Canis lupus familiaris: one gene and its partners. The protein of the gene in region 1 binds, or shares a complex with, the protein of each later gene. Links are inferred from orthologs where the notes say so. Each region holds a gene or a part of one and is shown in the gene's direction. Other genes may lie near its edges. The genes, in order: PIGH, PIGC, PIGA and PIGY.

Region 1 (4,606 bases):
CTTGCATCGGTGTCGGCTTCTTGGTGGTTTCTCGGATTCGCAATCTTGGGCACAACAGTTTTGGGGAAAAAAGGAAACAAAATCTTGGATGAAGATGGAAAGACCGAACCTAACTTTCATCAGAGAGACTCAAAGCTGGTGAGACTGTTAATGCCATTTGTCTTTATAGACAAAGGGATCAATTCTTTAATTCATGATGCTGCCTCAGGGCTGAAGCACCATAACTCCAACAGGCCACAAGCCACTCTTGAGCCAAAAGTAAAAAAAAAAAAAAAAAAAAAAAAAACCAAAGACAAAAACAAACAAAACAAAACAAAACCCACAGGCGCTATTACTCATGGGTTTAGTGATTTTTATTATCCACACCTTCTGCATCTTCCTCTCTTGCTAACTTCCCAGCCAGGACTCCTCTGTCTACTCAATGCTCCACGCAGTGGTTGGGAAGAGACAACTCCCAAGCCAGTGAAATCCAAACTTCTTACCAGGCCCTATAAGACCCTCTTGGATCTGAGGTCTGCACCTCTCTCCCCAACTTCATTGATTTTAATTTTTTTTATTTATTTATTCATGAGAGACAGAAGCAGAGGCATAGGCATAGGCAGAAGCAGGCTCCCTGCGGGGAGAGCCTGATGTGGGACTCGATCCCAGGACCTCGGGATCATGGCCTGAGCCCAAAGCAGATGCTCAACCACTGAGCCACCCAGGCGCCCCTACCTTCCCAACTTCCAAATGCCTCCTCCTTGTGTCAGTCTCTTGATTCCTCCAATACATCAACCTTGTTCCAGCCTCGGGGACTTTGCCTTTCCTGGTCCTCCAAACTGTCATATTCCTCCTCCAGAGCTCTCCCGGACCAGTCTGGCTCCCCACGCGCGCAGCTCCAGGGTCCTCAGAGATTTTCCTGATTGCCCTGTGGCAAGTGTCCCCAAGCCACTCCTGCGGTCATGTTATTGCCAGCAGCACTCCCTGAAATCGTTTTGACACCCTTCCATATTGCAGTTGCTCTTACTGGAGCGGACGCTCCTTGAAGGCACGAATCTCCAGCACGGGCGGGCCAGCCCTGGATCTTCAGCAACTACCTGGCGCGGGAATGAAATGAATGAGTAAGTGACTGTAACGAGTGTGTATCTGCGGACTGTCTCCTGGCCTGGACCTAGAAATCGTCTGCCAAGCGAGAGCGCGTGAACAGGCCAGCTGCGTCGGCCTCCCGCGAGTCTCCGGAGTAGCCACGCCGCCCGCAGAAGCCCTGCGGGGCCGGGAAGCGCGAAACCCGAGCCGGCGGAGCCTCGCCGCAGCTCTGGGCGCCGACTGCGGCTGCGCGGAGCGTGAGGCGGGGGCGGGGCGGGGCGGGGCCTGCGCCGCTCTCCGGAAGTGGGTTGGAGCTGCTGAGAGGGCGCCGGCGGGCGAGAGGGCGCGACGGGGCGCGAGAGGGCGCCGGCGGGAGGGGCCCGCCGACCATGGAGGACGAGCGGAGCTTCTCGGATATCTGCGGCGGCCGCCTGGCCCTGCAGCGCCGCTACTACTCCCCGTCCTGCCGGGAGTTCTGCCTCAGCTGCCCCCGGCTCTCGCTGCGCTCGCTCACCGCGGTCACCTGCGCCGTGTGGCTCGCGGCCTACGGACTCTTCACCCTCTGCGAGGTAAAGGCCGCTCGGCCCCTCCCCGCAGTCGGAGTCGGGGGCGGCGTTCCCGGGTCGAGGCCGGGTCTCTCGTCGGGCCTTCCCGTCGGTGTAGGGTCGGAGGGCGGGAACTGGCTGGCTCTGCTGCCGGGACAGCTGTTTTCTTGACGTTTAGTGACGTTTTGACACCTGTGCTCTGTGCCTCCTGTGGGCGTCCACTTAGACCTTGCGCGATAGCCTCAGACTCTAACTTCCAGGTGACCTACGTAGCACGTGCTCACAGGAATTCAGTTCCAGGGGTTCGGAGAACTGTTAAGTGCATCGACCTCATCCGTCGCTCCGAATCTTCAGAGGAGTCGCTGCCAACAGAACCTTTATAGAGTCTTAAGGAGAAACCGTCTTTGCCTCCACAACATGAGCTTCATCAGTTCTAACCTGTTTTTCAAGGCAGTCTACCCCCCCCACCCCCACCCCTTCCCCAACCTCAAGTGATTTCTAATGAATTAGGAAGTTTTGGTGATGCGTTGTTTCTGGGCTCACCATTCGGACTCATTCCTATTTTCTGAGCCTCAGCTTTAACATGTTTAAAAGGGAATTGCTGCCTGCCATGCCAGCTTCACAGTATTGAGGGTCACATGTAGTGGCTTTGTGGCAGCCCTCAAATAAAACGAGTCACCCTAAATGCTTTTCAAGATGAATTTTTTTAAGACTTTATTTATTCATGAGAGACACACAGAGACAGAGAGAGAGAGGCAGAGACACAGGCAGAGGGAGAAGGAGGCTCCATGCAGGGAGATGGACGTGGGACTCGATCCCGGGTCTCCAGGATCACGCCCTGGGCTGAAGGCGGCGCTAAACCGCCGAGCCACCCGGGCTGCCCCAAGATGAATTTAGTTTCAGATGTAGTGTCCTGAACTGAATATATTATTCTAGGAGTGATCTGACCAGGTCGAGGGTTTTTTCTATATTTTGGGTCTTGTTTCCATTAATGCATTCATTGGCTCTCTTACCATCAATGTATGGTAATTTGGCATAGATATGTGCAGAATTAAGACTGCCCTAAGTTATGCCAAACTGTATCTAGAAGTTTGTTCAAAAGCCAGTTAATATGGTTAAACTGCCAGGACAGTCCTTCTCCCCCCTCGAAAAAGATTTAATTTATAATGTAGTTGAATTTTAATACTAGCCTGAGTTCTGGCCGTGTTGTCATGTGAGGAGGAGGAGCGAACAGATTATTATATGTCCACTAACTGCCAGCTGCTTTCCTGAATGTCTCATTTTAACCTTAGAAGAAAGCCAAGGCTTAGAGTAATAATTTACCCAAGGTCACAAAGCTAGTAAATGGCATACTTGGGCTTCAAACTCAGGACTGACTCTGAAACCCTTTCTTTTCCACTATACTGTCTCCTCCTTGGGGAGGGCTTACTTAGGTAAAATTTTTAAATAGAAGTTTGTTTTTATGCCAGCTCCTTTTTGTACCCTCTTATCCTGGTATGTCCCACCTGCCTCCATGAAGGGCCCACAACTCAGTAACCTTATCTTCCTTCAAACTCCACTGCAGGGGATCCTGGCTCAGCGGTTTAGCGCCGCCTTCAGTCCAGGGCGTAATCCTGGAGACCCGGATGGAGTCCCACATCCGGCTGGCTCCCTGCATGGAGCCTGCTTCTCCCTCGGCCTGTGTGTCTTTGCTTCTCTCTCTGTGTGTGTCTCTCATGAATAAATAAATAAAATCTTAAGAAAAAAAAACCTCCACTATATTTCTTAAGGGGTCTGTGTATCAGAGTTTATCTTTGGGTTCAAAACTATTTGTCAGAGTAATGACTCTCAGGAGGGAGAAGAAATGAAGGAATTCACAGAAACATGTGGCTTAATTTCAGCCCAAATAAATATTGAATTGTTAGAATTTCAGACAGAAAAATGAAGTATAGGGATCCCTGGGTGGCGCAGCGGTTTAGCGCCTGCCTTTGGCCCAGGGCACGATCCTGGAGACCCTGGATCGAATCCCATGTCGGGCTCCCGGTGCATGGAGCCTGCTTCTCCTTCTGCCTATGTCTCTGCCCTTCTCTCTCTCTCTCTGTGTGACTATCATAAATAAATAAAAATTAAAAAAAAAAGAAAAATGAAGTATAAAGAATGTAGGTAGTAATGAAGTTTTGGGCAAGGATTACCTTATTAAAAAGCTGATAGGGATTAAATCCCCTTACATTTTTTGTACTTCATCCCTTCTTTCCTGCTGGTTTTGAATTCACAATTCTATTAAAAGTGTAGGTTATTACCTGATTTATTGCAATCTGGAATGCTTTACCCCCTTCCTTTTCTCAACTAAGCATATCTATCAATAACCACCAGCTCTTATATACCAGTGAAATTCTTCTTCCTTGGAAGTCTTCATGGGGTATCCTGTGTGCTTTGAGGTCTCTTTCTTGCTTTCTCTCATTCTGTTTTAATACTTAGGCACTAATAGTTCCATAGTAGTCTCCAAAAATTTTAATTTTTGTATTAATTTTGCCTCTAATACACCTGTAAGGGCTGGGGCCGAATTTTCTATTCTTCCATGTTTATTCAGTTCAGACTATGAACCAGACACTGTACTAGATACTAGGCATTTAATTAACTTAAAGTAGACATTTTTGGATCATCAGAGACCTAGCACATAGATTTTTCCATTCTCCATTCATTAATCAGTAAGTAATTACCAAGTACAGAGGTCAGCAAACTTTAAAAGGCCAAATAGTAAATATTTTGGGCTTTACAGGTCTCTCACAGTCCTGTTTCTTTTTCTTTCTTTTACAACTCTTTTAAAAGTGTAAAAACGGATGCCTGGGTGGCTCAGTCAGTTGGGCATTTGCTTTTGGCTCAGGTCATGATCCTGGAGTCCCAGGATCAAGCCTTGTGTCAGGCTCCCTGCTCATTGGGGAGTCTGCTTCTCCTCCCTCTGCACCACTTCCCCTGCTTGTGTTCTCTCTCTCTTGCTCTCTTTCTTTCTCTCAAAT
Region 2 (4,749 bases), on another chromosome or scaffold:
CCCTTTGCTAGAAGTACAACCCTTCTAGCAAACTGCCACATGTGCCAGGGAGCCAGCCCTCCTCATCTATGAAGTGGTTTCGAAGTTGCCTCCTGGCTGCTCTCTCTCTCCCCTCCCTCTGATTTCTTCCATTCGCCTCCACATTACCTCAATTTCCCCCTTCCTTCCACTTCCCCTCCCCAGAGCAGCCAGGGACCACAAATGAAAGAGGAATGAAGAAGCCCAGATATTTCGAGTGTCAGCACTAAAATGCTGCTAACACATGAACACCTCCAATTGTGAAACACAGAAACATATTCCATAGCTGTTGGTTTGGAAGTGGCAGGACTGGTGAGATTGGAGGAGATTGTCCCAAAGGGATATACGGGCAGTCGCTCCTCTCTAAAGATTGCCATTTATGGGTCTAGACTTTTGATGGTTAAAATGAGAAAATTTCAAATTAAAGCAGAGGAGAAAAAGTAAGATGTAGAGGAGGATGGAAGTGTTCGGAGAGGTAGCATCCAGGGGCAAAATTCTTTTGTATTGTTGAGTGGTGGTTGTAGAGAGGGAGGTTCATTGAGATCTCCTCCCCCCTGCCAAGCCTATACTCAGTGCCTGCTTTTGTCTGAGAAACCCAGGCCATTTCTGGGCTTTGAGCACTCATCTTGAGTTTCTCAACTGACCAGATTTGCCCCTCTGATAACTGCCCCAGAAACCATCTTCTGTGACATCTTTCTCGAAACCTTTGGCTTCAGTGACTGAGTGATTTACCTTTTGGGGAGGCTGAGCACTAATGGCTTGTTTATGAGGCTGGCCTCGCTAAGCCAAGGAATCTTGCCAAATTTCGGAACAGAAACCTGGAAAGAAATGGAAAGAGATCATTCCGTGGAACTTATTGCATTTGAACATTGCCATCAAAACAATAACCAAAGTGAGCTAATGGCAGCTATATAAAAGTCAGCACTTTACAAAACATTTTTATGACGAGGGCCTTTTGAGTCTCCTATAAAGGATCCAAGAGCAAACAGTGTTATCTCCACTTTACAGATGAAGAAATCAGAGCTCAGGCGTTGTGATTTGCCAAGTCACACGGCTCATAGGTGGATTCAGGTTTTCTGACTTTCGTGCCCTCTATACCTGGCCTTCTACTCTACCTATCCCTTTGCTTCTTTATTACTTCCATCTGTTGGTGCACCTATGCAGCCGGCTGAATTATCAGCAGCCTCCCGTTCAGTCCCAGACTGTTTTCAGCCGCAGGGCCCTCCGCTCCCGATTCCTTCCAGGCACCAAAGAGGAATGAACAACACGCTGAAGCCGCGGACATGGCACGTTAATCTGTTAATCCACTTTCCAGCTGGTGGCTTTGGGACAGCTCACAAGGTCTCTGAGCCTCGGTTTTGTCCTCTTGGGAAGATATCATCACTTTCCAGGTCAACGCACAAGACAGAGAGCTGCAGGAGAGCAGGGATTTTCGGTTCCACTCACTGTGGTGTCAAGAGCCCCCCTAGGACAGTGCTCGCAGGTGCTCTCCGAATACCTGTCCAGCGAATGCACGGATGCGTGGCAAGTCCCCAGTTGAGGGCCTGACTGAGTAACAGGAGCGCCTAAGAGTCGGCTCTACAGTCTCTCTTTACCAGCCCAGCCTCTGTCCCCCGGCGTTCGGATCCCAAATAATCCAGCCTTTCGTTGCGGCGCTTGCTTTTTCCTAGGCTCCGAGCGGCGCGTCCTCGGGAGAGGAGCCGGGAGTTCCGCGGGTCGCCGGCAGGGGGCAGCAGCGACCCCCGCAGTTCCGCCGGCCGGGGAAAGGCGCTCTCGCCGCGGGGGGGGCGGACCCGGAAGTGCTCGGCCGGCGTCGCGAGCGCCGCGGAGCCCCGGATGGGAGCGGAAGTGGGCGGCCGCCTCCGTCCGGCCGCAGAGCCCCGGGAGCTGCGGGCAGGTGGGTCCTCGGGCGGGCGTCCGCGTTTCCGGGCCTCCTTGTCCTCCGCCACGCCCGCGCAGGCGCAAGGCCGGTGAGCGGCGGCCGCGGAGGGGGAGTGGGGCGTCCCCGGGGACACCTGGCCGACCCCGCGGGGGGGGGGGGCGGGGCGTTGCCCTGGGCGACGGCGGGAGCGCGCTGGGCTGGGGGCCCTGCGGCCGCCAACGGGGCTCCAGGGCGTCTGGCCGGTGCAGCCCAACTCGCCGTGGTCTCCGTGGAGGGAGTCAGGTCGGGCAGTAGGAGTCGCCTTCCCGGGCTTGCTGGAGGGAGGACTCGGGTCCTTCTGCCTCCTTCAGGTTTCCTTGTGGAGAAGGGGTCGTCGTCCGCGGGCCTCGCGAGAGTTTCCCGCCAGGACGCGAGCTCTTTAAAGGAGGTTAAGCTCGCGAGGTTCGTGGGTGAAGACCCTTGAGATTCTAAACCGGGAGCTCGTGCCTTTTTGTATTGTGCGGTTTACTGTTGTCTTTAGACTGGTACCTTTTCTTCTTCTTCTTCTTATTTTTTTTTTAAGATTTATTTATTCATGAGAAACAGAGAGAGGCAGAGACACAGGCAGAGGGAGAAGCAGGCTCCCTACCAGGGGCCCGATGCGGGACTCGATCCCGGGACCCCGGGATCACGACCTGAGCCAAAGGCAGACGCTCAACCGCTGAGCCACCCAGGCGTCACTGGTACCTTTTTCTTTTTTTTTTTTTCTCCTTTTTTGGTATAATGCCTTTGAGGTCTCCATCAATAAAAGCTCCGGATCCTATCCCTCGAAATTTGCACTAATTGCAGCCACAAGGATATGGTGACAGGGAGAGTGTTTTGGATGCTCTGGAGCCCATCCACAGACCTCAGGGATGTGTGAACCCCTGAGGGAGACATGACGTGAGGCTCAGGCTTCCGGGGAAAGACGTGGGCCTGAATTTGGCGCCACTGTTAATTTGGGCTAAAGTTGTCTGAGCAATCTGAATCTCAGGTATTTTTACTGATTAAAGTGGAGCTAATGCTGATTTGAAAGGAGAGGATTAAACGAAAGAAGCTCCAGAAGGCACCTGGCACATAGTAGGCGCTCAGAGAGTAATAGCTGACAGATGTCTGTTGTTATCTGTGGGATTATAATTAAAATCTGATGTGAAGTGTTAACGTCCATAATTATAAAACAGCCACCGCATGTATTTTTGCTCAGACTTTTAATAAACTGAATTAGTTTGATTTTTAACTCAGTCCTTCCCTTGACCTTTGACAGCTTTCCTAGGTTCATAGTCTCTCATTTTCCAGGAACTTGGCTGCATCATCCTGCCTCCGGGAACAAACTCTTCGAGTTGAGGCCTCGTCCGGGTTGCTGCCTTTGAAAGCAAGGGAAGGTCGGTACACTTTGAACCGCAACACAGCATGGAACTTCCAGAGAGGTCTTATTGCAAAACTGTGTAAAGAACAAGAACCACCTGGACTTCTGGAAGGGAGCTCAAACTGGCCTGAATTTGAAGGAGGGGATAATGTGTGCCCAACCTGTAACTGACACAAAGGAGATCAAGTGGCAGAAGGTCTTGTATGAGCGGCAGCCCTTTCCTGATAACTATGTGGACCGGCGTTTCCTGGAAGAGCTCCGGAAAAACATCTACGCCCGGAAGTACCAGTACTGGGCTGTGGTATTTGAGTCCAGTGTGGTGGTACAGCAGCTGTGCAGCGTTTGTGTTTTTGTGGTTATCTGGTGGTACATGGATGAGGGCCTCCTGGCGCCCCACTGGCTTTTTGGGACTGGCCTGGCTTCTTCACTGATTGGCTATGTTTTGTTTGATCTCATCGATGGAGGCGAAGGACGGAAAAAGAGCGGGCGGACCCGGTGGGCTGACTTGAAGAGTGCCCTCGTTTTCATTACTTTCACATATGGTTTTTCGCCAGTGCTGAAGACCCTGACAGAGTCTGTCAGCACCGATACCATCTATGCCATGTCAGTCTTTATGCTCTTGGGCCACCTCATTTTCTTTGACTATGGCGCCAACGCTGCCATTGTATCCAGCACACTGTCCTTGAACATGGCCATTTTTGCCTCTGTCTGCCTGGCGTCGCGCCTGCCCCGGTCCCTGCATGCTTTCATCATGGTGACATTTGCCATCCAGATTTTTGCCCTGTGGCCCATGTTACAGAAGAAACTGAAGGCATGTACTCCATGCAGCTACGTGGGAGTCACGTTGCTTTTCGCATTTTCAGCCTTGGGAGGTTTACTGTCCATTAGTGCTGTGGGAGCCATCCTCTTTGCCATTCTGCTGGTTTCCATCTCTTGTCTCTGCCCTTTCTACCTCATTCGCCTGCAGCTTTTTAAAGAAAACATTCATGGGCCTTGGGATGAGGCTGAAATCAAAGAAGACCTGTCCAGGTTTCTCAGCTAAGTTAGAGACTTCCATTCTGTTATTAAGGCAAGCTGATAGACTAGCCTCCCAACTAGTAGAAGACTCGAAGACAGTCCCATCCTGGAAACAACATACTGATGTGGGGGTAGGGGAACAGCAGTCAAAAGAAAGAACTAACCAAAGGCATGGGTGGTGAAGATGCTTGTCCTTTCTGTTATTTTGTGGATGAAAATGCTTTCTGGGGCCCTCCTCAATTCTTGCCTCTCATTTGCTGTAACAAATGAAGTGGTGTGGCTTCTATTTATTAAAAAAATAACATCCATTAAGTTGTCTCATGACTTTTCTGTAAGAAGGCTGACAGAAGGGGCATGAAGAGTGAAAAGAGAATGAAAATATATGTGTTTATGTGTAAAGTCACTTCTCTCTACCTTTATTTATCTAGAGCTCAGGTCCTAGAATCCT
Region 3 (4,112 bases), on another chromosome or scaffold:
TGCTGGCGGAGTTTATATAAATCCCTACTTTGAATTTAATAAAAATGACCCCATATAAATTACTTCTCCCACTATCTTTTTTTAAAAATAATTGATCTGCCTGTATTTGAGAAGATTGATAGAAAAAAGTGTAATTCTTATTTTTGTGTGTGTGTACATATGCATTTTTTGAATTAATAAACTTTAACTGGGTTATTTTACATTTACTTTTACTTTGAAATGTGTCCAATTTATAATTGTTAATGAACAAAATTCTCAAAAAGTATCAACATTCCTGTCACTTTGGATAGCCACTTTCAGACTGGTAGGGCATGGTTTATTTTTTTGCTTCATATTACCTGGGGTTGTATTTACGTATTAGAAGGAAAGTGTTTCATTAAAGGAAAAAAAAGAACCAAGACGCACCCTTTTGTTCTCTGGATTATAACCATCTGTCAGTCGAGGTCCTGCCACCTTCATTTACTCTCATTCAAGGGAAGTGGGCTATGGCAGGTTTGGACGGACTACTCTTTTACATTTTGCTAATACTGTGGAGTTTGTTGTAAGATCCTGTGTACAAGCTGCGTTCTCAACAAAGCGGATGCTGCAGTTACACTTTGTTGCTTAGCCCTTTCTGATGGCATGGCGGGATATGGAACATAGACTGGTAGAAATTTTGTAGCTGAAAGAGACCTTGGACTTCAGGCACATCTGGTCTCTTCGTTTTCTATTATCAGAAAATTTTCCCACGACCAAAGAGCTTGCTCCTAAGTTGGCTGGGACAAATCCTAGGTCTCCGATCAGCTGTTCGGCTCTGTAGAAAACTAACTCAAATGCTAGCTACCTCAAATACCTTTTTTAGAAGTATGTGATGCATAACCACAAGCGAATGACAAAGAATGTTATGTTAGAACGAAACAGCATAACCCATATAACCAACCCATGTATCGGGTAACAGTGGATGTCAATGTACTTTAAGAACTGCAACTCTTAGGAGAGCGCTGGTAGTTTGGACATTCCACCTTGGCAGGAAAGGTTTGAGAATTAGCTTCTCTGCCTAAGGAGGGCATAGCTAATACTTTTCAAAGGGAGTGTTTTCTCAGTTCTGCTGAATTTTTTAAAGTTTAAATATTAATATTTCCAACATTCAACTTTATTTTATATTTTCAGGGACTGATTTGCTTAGTGGTATAATACCTGAACTCTGTCAGAAATATCCAGATTTAAATTTCATAATTGGAGGAGAGGGACCTAAGAGAATCATTTTGGAAGAAGTACGAGAAAGGTACCAGCTACATGACAGGTATTGATGGATTCTATATTGTCTTGGGTGAGAAAATGTTACCTGAATTCAGTTTTGGTTACATGTGTTTTTAAGTGGGCTGTTTCTCCTATGTATACTTGATGTAAAAATGTAATGCAAAGTCTGTTTTTTTTAATGTATATAATATGGGAAAACTTAGTTTAAAAAAATTTCACAATTTTTTTTTTTGGCCCAGTATTATTTGACTTTCAGGGGCAATGGTTGGAGGTACCCTGGAAGGTGTGCGCATGCATATGAACTCACACACACACACACACACACACAGAACAACCACTTTGGAAACGTTTGTAGATTTTCAAGCCTTGCTGAGTTGTGATTTAAATAGTATGGCCCAAATCATGTAAATTGTCCTGTACATACAGATTCAAATACTTCTCTTTCTTAGTAACTTAAAAAGGTGTTTGCTGTGAAGCATCAATTTTAAGGGGCCTTTTTCTGTTTAGAAATGACTCTTTAATATTTACTCACCAAAGTATATTAATATCTCCACTAAATGCCAACTAATTTTGTAGAAGATGAAATTTATATGCGTGACAAAAGTTAGAAATATGGTAGCTGTATGAGTTTGAAACCAAACAGCTTTAAAGACTCTTTTAGATCATAATTTGGTGATATTAGTCTTGTGCAGTGGCAAACATTAGAACCAGCCGTAATCTAAGTATAATATGAATAGCACACTTGGCTTCTAAATGATATTTCTTTTCTTGCATGATTTTCACTCCTCTCTTTTCTTCTTTCATTTCTAAAATCAGAGTGCGTCTCTTGGGAGCCTTAGAGCACAAGGATGTTAGAAATGTCTTAGTTCAAGGACATATTTTTCTTAATACTTCCCTTACCGAAGCATTCTGCATGGCAATTGTGGAAGCAGCCAGTTGTGGTTTACAGGTAAAAAGCTTTGAGGGCTTACGTTGTTGGGGTTTCTGTACTTGTATTTTGAAAAATAAGCAGGTACTTTCTGTAATGACTTTTTAAAGTTGGTTTTGCTGATTTTCCTGAAATATGAATTATGGTGTAATGTATGTTCTTGTTCTCCTTTTTAAGGTGGTAAGTACCAGGGTTGGTGGAATTCCTGAGGTACTTCCAGAAAATCTTATCATTCTGTGTGAGCCTTCTGTCAAGTCCTTGTGCAAGGGTTTGGAAAAAGCGATTTCCCAGCTGAAGTCAGGAGCGTTGCCAGCTCCCGAAAATATCCATAACATAGTAAAGACTTTCTACACCTGGAGGAATGTTGCAGAAAGAACTGAAAAAGTATGTCATGTGCTAAGCAAAGGGTATTTGAAGATTGTGTCTAAATTCTTGGCGTTTCGTGTACACGTTTGCTTTTTTTAAATATATATATAGGTTTACCCTTTCTGTTGCTTAAGTTTATGAAGTCTCTTCAAATGAAAAGAAATGCACTATGTACTACTTTTGGTATATGCTAGGCTAAGTTTCTAGTCAACTCGTTGCATTTGACATCTGAAAATAGCAATGCCGTCAAGACTTCTCATTAAATTAGGCATAAGGGAGTTACAGAGTTTTCTAGAAGGCACGACTGTTCAAAGGCCAAACCGATATTAAGATCTACTCTCAGAAATTTTCTTGAGGCTGTTTCTAATTCTAAGCATGCCAGTTTATTAGGAAGTAGGTGGTTTTTCTTAGTCTGATTGCGGCAACTTTAAAACTTGCAAACGTTGAATTCAGGCTACTTCCCAAAACCCTTGCATCACCCTTGCTAAGTACCATGATGTTCTGTGGGGAAGAGGATTTTTGCATCTTTGGGCTGGTGGAGAACATAGTAAGTTAGGATGCAGGATGCACATGACAAATGTTGAAAATACCACAAACACAGAGCGGCAGTAGAGAACTTGTAGTTGCTCTTTTAATTCTTCCTGTTCCACACAGGCCATTTTGATCGTTTTCAGCTCCTCCTTCATAGTTTAACTATGCTATTTAGAACATTGATGAAGACATTACATTGGAGTTCATGCTGGAAACATGCTCTCTCAACTGTTCTAATTCACCAGTCTCAGCATAATTTGGACTGAAATGTATTCCAGATGTTTTGAGGGTACAAGAGCTAGCTGGAAGCAGCCTGTACCTTTCCAGAGGCCACTGGCCTGTAGAGCTCGCACTGCACGTCACAGCCTTCTTGAGTTCAAAAGGAGATGGCTTACAGGTCCGCTGTGTGAGAATGACCACAAGCAATGCTCGAATGCAATGAAAACAGATAAATGCTGGCCTCGCTTATGTGTTCGAAACATATGTTTAAAGATCTTTGTTTTAAAAATATTTCTGAGTTTTGTGCTTAGCCGTGCCTGAAAAAAGCAAGCCACCTACTACCGGTCCTCAGCAGTAAACTTTGTTTTTGTTTGCCAGCATTTGACCTATGCCATCTACTAAAATTTCCCCTATCTTTTCCCCCTTCCTTTTATTTGGAGTCCACGAAATGTTTCTGTATGCTCTCACCATCCATACTCAGCAACATGGCCTTACGTGGCCGTGGAAAAGAAGAGCCTCTCTCTACCCAGCAGCGCGCTAGATTAGAGCTCTCTGATGGTGGTTGATGTCTGCCAGCTAGCGGTGAGAGCTCCTCAGCCGAGTCAAGGAATCTTAGAAGGCCAGTCCTGCTTCAGGAAGTCACTGCTGAATTAAACATGGCCTCGACAGAGGTGACCCGAAAAGCGGTTCCAACTTCTCAGGACTTTGGAATTCTTGTAGTTGGTTAAAATTGATGGTGATCCCCTAGGGGACAGGAGCCATGGCATATTCATCTTTGTGTGACGAGGTGTCTAGCCCAGTATTTTGTCCAGAATAAGCACTCCATAAA
Region 4 (4,594 bases), on another chromosome or scaffold:
GTTAATTGTCCGGATCACTCTTCTAAATATTCTTTGCCTGCAAGATCCCATTTGAATGCCCACAAGGAGATTTCATGAGGTAGGTGCCATTATCTTATCATACAATAAAGAAACTGAGTGGGGGGATCCCTGGGTGGCGCAGCGGTTTGGCGCCTGCCTTTGGCCCAGGGCGCGATCCTGGAGACCCGGGATCGAATCCCACATCGGGCTCCCGGTGCATGGAGCCTGCTTCTCCCTCTGCCTGTGTCTCTGCCTCTCTCTCTCCTCTCTCTCTCTCTCTCGCTGATGACTATCATAAATAAATAAATTAATTTAAAAAAATTAAAAAAAAAAAAAAAGAAACTGGGTAAGTCGTTGGCTGGACTTACACAGCTAGTAAAGCACGGACCAGAAACCGAGCTGCCAGGCCCCAGAGCCCAACCCTTCCTTCATGGTAAGAAAGAGATCAAGCCTGAGACCACTTCCCTAGAGCACCAGATGCAAACCTGGCGCGGAAAATCCACTGAGCGGATTTGCCATCCAACTAAGGTACATCCACCCGCTTGGTTGCACAGTTGCTCAGACTCCTTGCTGTCACCAGCTCATTTATAAACTGGCTGCGCTTTATGATGCAGTTGAATTCACAGTAGAAGCTGGACTTCTGGGAGGTTAAGAGGCCTATGCTATTCTTTTCAGGCTCTAAAGTTTCTTTGTGTGTGTGTGTGTGTGTGTTTTAAGATTTTATGTATTTATTCATGAGAGACACACAGAGAGAGAGAGAGGCCGAGACACGGGCAGAGGGAGAAGCAGGCGCCCCGCGCGGAGCCTGATGCGGGACTCGATCCCAGGACCCGGGGTCAGGCCTGAGCTAGACTCTACCCCCTGACCTTGGGATCACGACCTCAGCCGAAGGCAGACGCTCATCCACTGAGCCACCCAGGGGCCCCTCAAGTTTTCATTTAATAAGAAAAGGGCGGGGAGGGGGGAAAGGTTACAGGTGCTATGGTAATTTACATAAAACAAATCCATGCTTTTAAGATACCCAATACGTGTTCGAAACCTCATTCTGGAGATGACCACGTAGGTGCAAGCTTAACCCTGTGGGACTCTGAGATCCGGCCACCGGCTTCCTGGCTCCCCTGCGATGAGCCCTGGTGAAAACCCAAAATGCCCCCAATTCAAGCCCTGGCTTTGTCAGTCATCGGTAAACGCGGCGAACAGCCACTGGAGCCCCGCGGCTACGGGCCCCGCCGTAACTACCGAGCGGTGGGCGGGAAGAAGCAGTCGCGTCAGCAGCGCCCCCGGAACCCAAGGGCTGCCTCCTGCCCGCCCGCCCGGGGACCGCATTCCCGCAGCACCGGGGGCGGGGCCTGGCGGGCGGCGGGGCCGGCTGCGCGGGGAGCGGCTGAAGCGGCGGAAGCGGCTGAAGCGGCCGGGCGCTGGCAGGGCGGCGGGTGCGGGCTGCCAGACCATGCTGAGCGGAGCGTGCGGCCGGCTCGCCTCAGCACTGCGGGGGCCGCGCGGGCCGTCGTTCGCGGTCGCCCGCAGGCGCCTTCACGCGTCGGGGTCGCGGCGGCCCTCAGACAAGAGCGAGAGGACGGGAGGCCCGCCCCGCGCCTTCGACCCGGCGCTGCTCGAGTTCCTGGTGTGCCCGCTCTCCAAGAAGCCGCTCAGGTGAGATTCCCGGCGGCCGGCCTCGGTTCGCGCGGCCGCTCACGGCCCTGGGGAGCCCTTCGGCTCGGGCCGGGGTTGCCCGCAGCCATTTTGTGGCCCCGGGCCCTGCGGCTACCAGGCTCCGCCCACTGCGGCGGGAAGGGCGGGGGAGGGGGGAGGCGGGCGCGAGCCGATCCCGGGCCGCTCGGATCCCACCGCCGAGGCGCGGCTGGAAGCCTTGGAAGGTTCCGCGCTGGCCGCGCGGTCGCCTCGCCGGGGGAACTTTTTTTTTTTTTTTTTTTTAAATGCCGATTCGGGTGCGCCGGCGCCGACCGACCCAGTCAGCCGGGCTGGGGGCCGGACTAGCGCGAGGCGTTTTCTTAAAAGGACCTAAGTGGTTCTCGCGCGCCGCCAGGTTTAGGAACTGTTGGGAGTCGGGACTGGCCCGTGGGTGTGAGGTTTTTAAGCCAAGATGGTGAAAAATGACTAAAAATTCTTATGGAAATCTACAGCTGATGCGTGACGGCCTTAAACACTTTTAAGCTGCGTGCGCTGCTGCGCCTTTGGCTCTTAGTTCTGGACGGGCTGGGTTTTGCAGAGTCGTAGGGTCTGTCTCCCTGGAATCCTTAGGGAAAACAGCTCAGGGAGGGGAAATAGAAGGAGACGGAATCAGAGAGGGAGACCAACTCTAGGAGACCGACGGAGGGTTGCTGGGGGTGGGGGGATGGGTGACCGGTGACGGGCATTAAGGAGGGCACTTGATGTCATGGGCACTGGGTGTTAGGTTCCACTGATGAAGCACTAAACTCTATCTCTGAACTAATTATACACTGTATGTTAATCAAATGAGGAAAGATTTTATTTATTCATGAGACACACACAGAGAGAGAGGCAGAGACACAGGCAGAGGGAGAAGCAGGCTCCATGCACTGGGAGCCCGACGTGGGACTCGATCCCGGGTCTCCAGGATCACGCCCTGGGCCGAAGGCGGCGCTAAACCGCTGCGCCACCGGGGCTGCCCGAGTTTAAATTTTTTTTTTTTTAAAAGAACTCTGCACCCCCAGGCTACTAAAACTGAACATTGACAACACTAGTTTTGCACCAGACTGTTATCAGTGGTTATTTTGGGTGGTGGATTGCTAGTCATTTTTTTTTTTTCAATCTTTCTACGTTTCTCTTAACGAGATGTTTTCCCATAATGAAGACACTCAATTTTCTTTTTTTTTTTTTTTAATTTTTATTTATTTATGATAGTTACACACACACAGAGAGAGAGAGAGAGGCGCAGAGACACAGGCAGAGGGAGAAGCAGGCTCCATGCACCGGGAGCCCGACGTGGGATTTGATCCCGGGTCTCCAGGATGGCGCCCTGGGCCAAAGGCAGGCGCTAAACCGCTGCGCCACCCAGGGATCCCCACTCAATTTTCTTATACCTTGAAATGACCATTTGATCTACCGTTTAGTTGTGTAACTAGCTGCAGATGCACTGTTTTCAGTTTCCTCGTTTCTGCTCTCTCCTCCTCAAACTTTTATTTTGTATATCTTGATTTTCAGTGGTTTCCTTCCAGTGGTTCAATTAGGTTGCTGTGTTAAGCGTGCATTCTAAAATAGTGGGGAATTTTAATTTTCCTCTAGTGGCTGTTTCAGTAGTAAATTAACTGGGATGGTTTTGGGGTTGACCAGAGTTAGGAAGGAATATTTTGATGAAAAGGGAAGATCTTCTAACTGGATTTTAAAAATACATATTAAGGTGTAGCTCGAGAATAAAATGAAAAAATACAAGAGAAACTGACCAAAATGCAAACAATTAGAGATTCATTTTCTAAGAGAAATGTTTCAGTTGGCTAATACTGTTTTTAGAATTAGAAGCAGTTTTTTATTTTTTTAAAGATCTTATTTATTCATGAGAGACCTACAGAGAGCCAGAGACACAGGCAGAGGTTGAGAAGCAGGCTCCATGCAGGGAGCCCGATGTGGGACTGGATCCCGGGACCCCAGAATCATGCCCTGGGCTGAAGACGGCACCAAACTGCTGAGCCACCCAGGCAACCCTAGAAGCAGTTTAATTCTACTTTTTTGGAATTTAACTCTCTGTCAAGAATTGGATAAATGGTGGTGTTTATTGAAGACCACGCACTTCTAAGCATTTTATTTTCCACAATTCATTTTGTTTTTCTTTTCCCCCCTCAGATATGAAGCATCGACAAATGAATTGATTAATGAAGAGTTGGGAATAGCCTATCCAATTATTGATGGGATTCCTAATATGATACCACAGGCAGCTAGGATGACACATCAGAATAAGAAGCAAGAAGAAACGGAGCAGCACTAGATCACAATTAAAAGCAACGCCTACAACTGCATTTTCTTAATACTACTTAATTTTTTAAAAGTCAGAGTGGCAGGTAATAAGCGGGGGAGAAGAATGTTTCTGTCTCTTCCTACGTTGACTGTCCTTATTCCATTGGTCTCTTTAGCAGGACTGTTCTACTCAGCTTCTGTGGAGGAAAACTTTCCACAGGGCTGCACTAGCACAACCAGCCTGTGCTTTTACAGTCTCCTCCTGCCAGTTACCATACCAGTTTATGTGTTCTTCCACCTTTGGACCTGGATGGGTATTAAACTCTTCAGGCATAATTAATACAAACAGAGCCAAGATGATACACATATTAATGATATGTCATGTCTGTCTCTGAAAGCTCAGTGACATGGAAATACTGGAAACCCACTTAATTTGCAGGAAAGGTGCTTTGCCTTGCTTCTCTCAGAGGTTTTGGACTATGGGAGGCTTAAGCTGCAGAAATTTCTTTTGTACTTTTGTTCTGCCCTTATTTTTTGAAAATTCTAACATATGACTGCTGTATCAGAAGAAACATTTCAGGAAAGTTTCCTATTGGAAATTAACAGTCCTGACCATCAGCTGATGACTTTATTACCCCATTCATCTAAAGTTAATAATTAA

What was found.
Region 2: PIGH (region 1) and PIGC share a complex: the UniProt entries of both Homo sapiens proteins name them as parts of the glycosylphosphatidylinositol-N-acetylglucosaminyltransferase (GPI-GnT) complex. The link is inferred for Canis lupus familiaris from reciprocal best matches to the Homo sapiens genes PIGH and PIGC.
Region 3: PIGH (region 1) and PIGA share a complex: the UniProt entries of both Homo sapiens proteins name them as parts of the glycosylphosphatidylinositol-N-acetylglucosaminyltransferase (GPI-GnT) complex. The link is inferred for Canis lupus familiaris from reciprocal best matches to the Homo sapiens genes PIGH and PIGA.
Region 4: PIGH (region 1) and PIGY share a complex: the UniProt entries of both Homo sapiens proteins name them as parts of the glycosylphosphatidylinositol-N-acetylglucosaminyltransferase (GPI-GnT) complex. The link is inferred for Canis lupus familiaris from reciprocal best matches to the Homo sapiens genes PIGH and PIGY.

The regions. Positions count from the first base shown.
Region 1 is NC_049229.1:41,842,514-41,847,119, reverse strand, and holds the start of PIGH (phosphatidylinositol N-acetylglucosaminyltransferase subunit H), read left to right. Parts: upstream 1-1,353; 5' UTR 1,354-1,454; coding exon 1,455-1,634; intron 1,635-4,606. UniProt on the Homo sapiens protein: Part of the glycosylphosphatidylinositol-N-acetylglucosaminyltransferase (GPI-GnT) complex that catalyzes the transfer of N-acetylglucosamine from UDP-N-acetylglucosamine to phosphatidylinositol and participates in the first step of GPI biosynthesis.
Region 2 is NC_049228.1:26,429,585-26,434,333, forward strand, and holds PIGC (phosphatidylinositol N-acetylglucosaminyltransferase subunit C), read left to right. Parts: upstream 1-1,793; 5' UTR 1,794-1,915; exon of another isoform or gene 1,916-1,988; intron 1,989-2,246; exon of another isoform or gene 2,247-2,424; intron 2,425-2,561; exon of another isoform or gene 2,562-2,622; intron 2,623-3,182; exon of another isoform or gene 3,183-3,214; 5' UTR 3,215-3,432; coding exon 3,433-4,326; 3' UTR 4,327-4,613; downstream 4,614-4,749. Other genes in the region: C7H1orf105 (uncharacterized protein C1orf105 homolog), read right to left, coding at 751-836. UniProt on the Homo sapiens protein: Part of the glycosylphosphatidylinositol-N-acetylglucosaminyltransferase (GPI-GnT) complex that catalyzes the transfer of N-acetylglucosamine from UDP-N-acetylglucosamine to phosphatidylinositol and participates in the first step of GPI biosynthesis.
Region 3 is NC_049260.1:11,617,237-11,621,348, reverse strand, and holds part of PIGA (phosphatidylinositol N-acetylglucosaminyltransferase subunit A), read left to right. Parts: intron 1-1,149; coding exon 1,150-1,282; intron 1,283-2,055; coding exon 2,056-2,188; intron 2,189-2,344; coding exon 2,345-2,551; intron 2,552-3,723; coding exon of another isoform or gene 3,724-3,849; exon of another isoform or gene 3,850-4,112. UniProt on the Homo sapiens protein: Catalytic subunit of the glycosylphosphatidylinositol-N-acetylglucosaminyltransferase (GPI-GnT) complex that catalyzes the transfer of N-acetylglucosamine from UDP-N-acetylglucosamine to phosphatidylinositol and participates in the first step of GPI biosynthesis.
Region 4 is NC_049253.1:28,141,988-28,146,581, forward strand, and holds the start of PIGY (phosphatidylinositol N-acetylglucosaminyltransferase subunit Y), read left to right. Parts: upstream 1-1,362; 5' UTR 1,363-1,450; coding exon of another isoform or gene 1,451-1,653; intron 1,654-3,822; coding exon of another isoform or gene 3,823-3,964; 5' UTR 3,965-4,057; coding exon 4,058-4,273; 3' UTR 4,274-4,594. Other genes in the region: PYURF (protein preY, mitochondrial), read left to right, coding at 1,451-1,653, 3,823-3,964. UniProt on the Homo sapiens protein: Part of the glycosylphosphatidylinositol-N-acetylglucosaminyltransferase (GPI-GnT) complex that catalyzes the transfer of N-acetylglucosamine from UDP-N-acetylglucosamine to phosphatidylinositol and participates in the first step of GPI biosynthesis.